2 linked regions of the Arabidopsis thaliana genome follow. The protein of the gene in region 1 purifies or fractionates together with the protein of each later gene. This does not show direct contact. Each region holds a gene or a part of one and is shown on either strand. Other genes may lie near its edges. The genes, in order: AT1G24510 and PAF1.

Evidence for each region.
Region 2: the proteins of AT1G24510 (region 1) and PAF1 fractionate together in Arabidopsis thaliana (co-fractionation; one large-scale study listed by BioGRID). This does not show direct contact.

What each region holds. Positions count from the first base shown.
Region 1 is NC_003070.9:8,686,059-8,689,986, reverse strand, and holds the start of AT1G24510 (TCP-1/cpn60 chaperonin family protein), read left to right. Parts: upstream 1-1,740; 5' UTR 1,741-1,885; coding exon 1,886-2,084; exon of another isoform or gene 2,085-2,184; coding exon of another isoform or gene 2,185-2,224; exon of another isoform or gene 2,225-2,297; coding exon 2,298-2,616; intron 2,617-2,719; coding exon 2,720-3,068; intron 3,069-3,211; coding exon 3,212-3,344; intron 3,345-3,425; coding exon 3,426-3,478; intron 3,479-3,570; coding exon 3,571-3,673; intron 3,674-3,846; coding exon 3,847-3,928. Other genes in the region: BCP1 (homolog of Brassica campestris pollen protein 1), read right to left, coding at 929-1,288. UniProt on the Arabidopsis thaliana protein: Molecular chaperone; assists the folding of proteins upon ATP hydrolysis. Known to play a role, in vitro, in the folding of actin and tubulin.
Region 2 is NC_003076.8:17,159,387-17,163,314, reverse strand, and holds the start of PAF1 (proteasome alpha subunit F1), read left to right. Parts: upstream 1-2,158; 5' UTR 2,159-2,339; coding exon 2,340-2,690; intron 2,691-3,559; coding exon 3,560-3,928. Other genes in the region: LCR28 (low-molecular-weight cysteine-rich 28), read right to left, coding at 36-119.

The sequences.
Region 1 (3,928 bases):
ATAATAAATATCTGGACAGTCAGTGAATATGGAACTTTCTTTATCAAGTATGATATATGAATATGAGAATGATGCATTGATGCTTTGTATGGTTGGTTATTGATAGGAATACCCCAAATACGAAGTGGTATTTTGATAGATAAGACTAAAGAGATCCTAAAGAAAGAAAGAGATCGAAAAAGAAAAAGGAAAAAGAAAAAGAAAATAGGTATTATTAGTTGAGTTTAGGACCAAAAGTGCAACACACCAATACGAACCCGTATACACTACTACGCGTACGGCTCTTCCTTCACTCCTTGTATGGGTCCCTCGCTGAGCTTCTATAGTGGAAGCTCCCCAAACCCAACCATGAAATTGGCTCCTCATCACATTCACACCTTTAAAATTCCAATGTAATATATTTTCTTTCTCTGGAGACAAAACTTATTTTCAATCTAGTCTATTAGTTTGAGTTATTATTTGGAGTTTAAAAAATATGTCCTTTTCTTTTATTTGGTATTTCTATCCGAGAACACTTTGGCTGATTCTCTGGCAAAGGCTAGTCTTAAATCTTGTATCATCTCCTCTAGTGATAGAGAGTTTGAGTAATCTTAACGTCCCTAAATGCATAAATATATGCATTTTGATTAGGATATTTTTTTCTTGTTTTTTTTTTGTTTGCATTTTGATTAAGATTTATACACGATGGTTACAATTTTACTTAATTAATTATTATGGCTTTTGACCCCGAAATCGTATATTATTATATTCAATTCAGAATTTTGTATCTAAACACCGTTAGTGAAAAGTTTTTTTTTTCAGTATTATTACAAAGACAACGTTTCTCCTAACAAAGGAGAAACAAATTACAACAAGATCATCACAATCATCCTTACATATAAATAATCTTCGTTTAAAATAACCTTCTTATCATAAAACAATGCCCAACTTAGAGTAACAAGAAAGAACCAGCAATGGATGTAACACCAACGACGACCGCAGAGACGCCAAGAGCTGCCGCACCGCTTTTGGCAGAATCAGCAGAGCCTGTAGGCGCATTGTCGTACGAGGAGTCACTTCCTAGAGGACCAGCCACTGCAACGTCACCGTCACCAGGAGTAGGAGCTGCATCGTCATCGGTGGTTCCGATTTGGTCATCGGTGACTGGAGCCTCGACATGATCGGTTTTGGAGGCAGCTGGAGCTTTGGAGGGAGACGCTGAAGGAGATGGAGAGGAGGCAGCTGCGGCAAGGCCAATGATGGCCATGAAGACGAGGGCAACCACGACGACAATGTTTTGGCGACCCATTCTTCTCTCTCTCCTTCTTACGTAGAACTCGTTTAATTTATTTTAGGGTTTGAGGTTTATTGATTGTGATGATTTCCGAAGATGAGTTTGATATGTATATATAGTTGTGTTTTGTGATCAAGACCAAAAATAAAATAGAAAACGTTTGAACTAAGATGTAGGATTACCTTACAATCCAATGTAAATCTACTGGAGTACCTAAAAATGGACTTGTTCAGATATAGATTTTGATTGGTGAACATGCGAATGAATATGAAACCATTCGTTCAACTTCAAATCGTCGTATTAACGAGTGTCTTATTAAAGAACCAAATTATGATAGTATTGCCATGAACATTCTATTCATCTTATATCAGATGGGCTTTAAACCCATAAGCCCAAACGTCTTGTTAGGCCCATGAATCAATTCCGATTTACGATTCTGCCATCAACAGCGAGTTAGGGTTTTACACTCGACCACTTTAAGCTCTCAAATCTTCCAGACATTCTTCTTCTCGCTTTTTTCCCCATTTCAACTTTTTTTTTTCCTCTCCAGTGCACTAGGAAACAAAAAAAACCCAAGATCTATAGTTCGATCGGATCGAGAGAAGCTCGAAAATGGCGCTGGCGTTCGATGAGTTCGGGCGTCCGTTCATTATACTGAGAGAGCAAGATCAAAAGACTCGTCTTAGAGGAATCGATGCTCAGAAAGCCAATATCGCCGCTGGTAAAGCCGTGGCTCGGATCCTTCGATCCTCTCTTGGACCCAAAGGAATGGATAAGATGCTTCAAGGACCTGACGGAGACATCACCATCAGTTCGTTTCTTCCTTTTGATTTCTTCATATCTGCTTTTAAATTTCTAGTTTCGCTCTTGTTTACTTGGCATAGTGTTTACTATGTTGATGCCGTAGTTTGATGAATAGATCCATCTACTTTTTGAAAATCGATTCGCTATGTCTGTTAACTTAGCTCAGCTCTACTACTACTTGTATATTGTTTGTAACCTCGCCTTTGTTTTGCTTTTGCAGCAAACGATGGTGCTACGATATTGGAGCAAATGGATGTTGACAACCAGATTGCGAAACTAATGGTGGAACTGTCGCGGAGTCAGGATTATGAAATTGGTGATGGAACAACAGGTGTTGTTGTTATGGCTGGTGCACTTCTTGAGCAAGCTGAACGTCAGTTAGATAGAGGAATTCATCCCATTCGTATTGCTGAAGGATATGAGATGGCTTCTAGGGTGGCTGTTGAGCATTTGGAGCGTATTGCCCAAAAGTTTGAATTCGATGTTAATAATTATGAGCCTCTGGTTCAGACTTGCATGACTACTCTGTCCTCGAAGATGTAATGTTCCTTTTTGATATTCAGGCTACTTTTCAATAGTTGTTGCTTGTTTTTACTTGGTTTATAGTATACTGTCTTAACTCTTTCTTGCTCATTGTTACAGTGTGAATCGATGCAAGCGCAGCTTAGCTGAGATTGCTGTTAAAGCGGTTCTTGCTGTTGCTGATTTAGAGAGGAGGGATGTTAACTTAGATCTGATCAAAGTAGAGGGGAAAGTTGGGGGAAAGTTGGAGGACACTGAGCTTATTTATGGAATACTGATTGACAAAGATATGAGTCATCCGCAAATGCCAAAGCAGATTGAAGATGCCCACATTGCCATTTTGACTTGTCCCTTTGAGCCACCGAAGCCGAAGACTAAGCATAAGGTGGACATTGATACAGTGGAAAAGTTTGAGACATTGCGCAAGCAAGAGCAGCAATATTTCGATGAGATGGTACAAAAGTGCAAGGTAGGTTTTAATTTGTATTAATTTATATTGTCAGTTGGATGTTGAGTAAGCTACTGAAGAAATCCTTTTGACAATGGTCATTAGTACCACAATGCATTTTATGATATGATTTATGTATGACCCTTATGATTTTAACTTTGCAGGATGTTGGTGCTACGCTGGTTATTTGCCAATGGGGATTCGATGATGAGGCAAACCATCTATTGATGCACAGGAATTTGCCTGCTGTCAGATGGGTAGGGGGTGTTGAATTAGAACTTATCGCAATAGCCACAGGTAAGTAAAGTACTCTTAAGCATCTAATGCTAGTGTTTGTATCAGTTATGCAAAGCTGATCAGAAATTTTTCTTTTTGTAGGCGGTAGAATTGTTCCAAGATTCCAGGAGTTGACCCCAGAGAAGTTAGGGAAGGTATTTTTTTTACTTTCACTAGGTTTTGCTTGTAAAATGTTAATTAGATTTTAAACAGACCATTGAAACCCAACATTTCCTGATATATTTAGGCTGGCGTGGTTCGTGAGAAATCTTTTGGCACAACAAAAGAACGAATGCTGTATATTGAGCACTGTGCGAACTCAAAAGCTGTCACTGTTTTCATCCGTGGAGGTAATCGCCTTGTCTTTTGTACTTATTAGCACTTTAGCAGCACTGTTTTGACTTTTGAATAGCTGATGAGAGATAAACATCGATGTACTGAATCTAATGCCTTCTAAGTATATGGTGGACAACGATATTGTATAACTGATTGATCCAACGATTTGTTGCGGAATATGGTTTAGGTAACAAAATGATGATAGAAGAGACGAAACGTAGTATCCACGATGCTCTGTGTGTGGCTAGGAATCTCATCCGCAACAAATC
Region 2 (3,928 bases), on another chromosome or scaffold:
AGAAAACCATCAAATAAAAATATGTGAAGAAACACGGAATATTTAATAAATATTGAAGTGTAGAGCATACCAATAACCAAAACAACCATAAAAATTGTAAGAGATGTGTTTTTAGTCATCTTTGATGATACAATTATAATAAAAGTAATGGATGTAATTGTATTGTGAACAAAGAACAATATATATAGATTAATTGAATGCATACATTTATATTTACAAAAATATCATTAATTATAAAAAAAAAATAGAAATAAATCAGTTAGTAATTAACTAATTAATGCTTGAATTTGTGTTTACCAAAAAAAGAGAGCAAAAAGATCAGTTAGTAATTAATTAGATGCTTTTTTTGTCATTAGATGCTTGAATCAGGAAAACTTACAAAATTGAAAACAAATCTAGAAAGTAATTATAAGTGAAAACATATAAAAACGTTATAAATCATAGTATATGCTAACTTTAACTAATCTATATAATAAATAAATTAAAATTTTGAAAACAAATCATCAAATATCAAATAAAGAATAATTCTTGGGTTCACTTCTAGGGGGTGAACCTAATTTATTCACCCCCTCTTTAATAACAAATCAATATTTGCCATGTTATTTGATTAAAAAAACTTAAAACAATTAATATTATCAAAATAAAATAATTAAAATAAATCATTAAAACCCCACTTTTTTGTAAATCCAAACCGATATATAATCTCGTTTAATTACCAAATCTAAGCCCTAATTCTCCTTTATAAACCCAAACCGCCATTTAGACTTATTTAATCGTTAAAAAACAAACCATAATCGTATTTTCTAAACCCAAACCGACATTTAACCTAGTTTAATTGTAAAATCTAAATATGTTTATAAGCCCAAACTAATATTTAACATCGTATAATCATAAAATCTAAACCCTAATCGTATTTTGTAAACCCAAACCGATATTTAACCTCGTTTAATCATAAAATCTAAACTCTCATTTTTTCTAATAAACTCAAACCGATACATAATTTTCTTTTAGTGGCAAATTAGATTTAATAGTTAAATTAATTTTTTATTATTATTACTAGTTTGTTAGTTGGGTTTAAAAGTTTCATCAAAGGAGATTTCATAATTGAATAAGGTAAGTGACGATTTTAAAATAGCTTGTTTTTAGAAGTTTTTCGTTCTAGGTTTGTTCTTATTGCATGTAGCTAGTTAGCGTCATGAACTAGTAACTGATCTTAGGGAGATAAAACCACAAAAGTGCTGAATTTATTTACTTGATCTAACATACATAGACTAGAAACTACGTTATAACAATACAAAAGCTTAGTTGTAGAGCTTTGTTTGTGGAGGTAAAGGAACTTGATCTCATTGGGTGATTGATTTTGTGGCTACAACAAAAATCTGAGTAGTTAAGTTTTTATCGATGCTACAAAATTCAATCCCCTAGTCATCTGTGATTCCAGTTTAAGGAACTTGAGCTAAACTGAATATGCTTTTGTTAATCTTCTTGTATGAGACAATATGAACTTTCGCGATATTCTTAAAGACTCAACGATTAATTATCATACAGTTGATAATAATAGTCGAAAATAACAATCGTTACCAATCCACTTCTATATTATGTATAAAATGATTAAAACTATATTATAAAACAAATAATAATTCAAATTTAAATAAATATTTAAAAATCAAAATTCTATTAGTGTTGTACAAGCACATGTTATGATCTACTTCATCACTATATTCGTCAAAACTAAAAATGTATGACTTTTCAGCTGTCATAAAAGTTTAGAAATATACAATAAATTAATTTTAAGATATCAATTTTAAAAATGATAAATGTTCTAAAATTTTAAATAGGATCAATCACAGAGACTTTTTTTTTGTAACAATTCAAATTATATGATTACTAATAACAAAATCGCAAAGTTTTATATTTATAAAATTAATTCATTTTTATTTAGTTTCAAATAATATACAAGAATATTCAAGCTAGTGTGCTCTGTTTTGTCTAATGTTTTTTTTTTTACTGAGAACTATTGACCAAACTCTTTTGTACATATTTAAAGATTCTTAAACAATTTCACATTTCATCAAAAAAAAAAAAAAGAATATACAAGGATTATCCTGTATAAAAACATAGGCCTAAAGTCTGTATAAAACATATGCCTAAAGTCTTAGCCCAATAAGCTAGATACCGAGCCAATACAAAGCCCAGAATTTAATAGAAGCCCATTAAATCGAGAGAGAGATCGAGAGCATCCATGGCTTGAAGGAAAAGAAAAGTTTTGTTTCTGAACTTTCGTCTCTATAAACCCTTTCGACGACGAGTGAAGAAGAAAGCGAGACGAAGAAGCAAAGATGTTCAGAAACCAATACGACACAGATGTTACGACATGGAGTCCAACAGGTCGTTTATTCCAAGTGGAATACGCCATGGAAGCAGTGAAGCAAGGATCTGCAGCAATTGGACTCAGATCTCGTTCTCATGTCGTTCTCGCTTGTGTTAACAAAGCTCAATCGGAGCTTTCTTCGCATCAGAGGAAGATCTTTAAAGTCGATGACCATATCGGTGTTGCAATCGCTGGTCTCACAGCCGACGGTCGTGTATTGTCTCGGTATATGAGATCGGAATCGATTAATCACTCTTTTACTTATGAGTCTCCTCTTCCTGTTGGTCGTCTCGTTGTTCATCTTGCTGATAAAGCTCAGGTTAGGCTTTTGTAGTTTGTTGATTGAGATTTGGTGGAATTTGGAATCGATTACGCTTGGTTTTGTGTGATTCGGTGATAAGTGTGTTGTAATTGTTAATTGAAATTTGAGGAATTTGGAATTCGATTACACTGTGAATCACTGAGCTCAAATTTAGCCATTAGCTTCTTGACTTTGTGCTTAGGGTTTGATCTGAGCTGATTAGGATTCTAAATTGCATTAAATAAGAGTTTTCTTAATTTATCATAGCAGAAACTTGAATCTTGTTTAGTGAAATTGTTTGCATGTTTGTTGTTACTGCTGCATAATCTTGTATTTAAAAGTTTAACCATAACTAAGAGCTTAACAATAGGATTCTAAAAGAAAGAGATTTGTGTTTCTTCTGGTGCTTTTGCTTGTTTCTGCAGTTTTTATTTGGAGTTATTGATTTTCAGTACCTCTAAGAAGTGAATTCCGCTCTTTGTTTTGCATCGTTCTCACCACTATGCACTTATCTTACCAGTCAATTACTCCTGCTAGGTGCTTGTTCGACATCTTTTCTGTAATTATGTGCTACTTCTCACTTTGTTTTTCCACCTATCTAATGGTTTCTTAAGTTAGCTGTTTTATCCACATCTGCATAAATACTTTTCAAAGCCATTGGGAAGAGCTCCCATATATTATATGTGTTTATAAAAGGAAGGGTCTTGTATTTCCTCATTGTCAAACTTTATTAGTTGGTTTACTCTTTTGTAGGAGAGATTTTACTTGACAGGTCCAACTTAAGTTACATTATTGTCATATTTCTTGTCTTTACCAAGGGTTTTTTTTGTTATATTTCTTGATCTGGAAAAGGAAATATTTATGTGTATGTTTGCCTTTATGAACAGGTCTGTACCCAACGATCATGGAAACGACCCTATGGTGTTGGTTTGCTGGTAGGTGGATTGGATGAGTCTGGAGCCCACCTTTACTACAACTGTCCCAGCGGAAACTACTTCGAGTACCAAGCTTTTGCTATTGGATCCCGTTCCCAAGCAGCAAAGACCTATCTGGAACGCAGGTTTGAGAGCTTTGGGGATTCTTCTAGAGAAGATCTGATCAAAGATGCTATTTTGGCTGTTAGGGAGACATTGCAAGGGGAAACACTGAAGAGTTCTCTCTGCACAGTCGCTATTCTAGGAGTCGATGAACCGTTCCACTTCCTGGACCAGGAAGCAATACAGAAAGTGATCGACACATTTGAGAAAGTGCCAGAG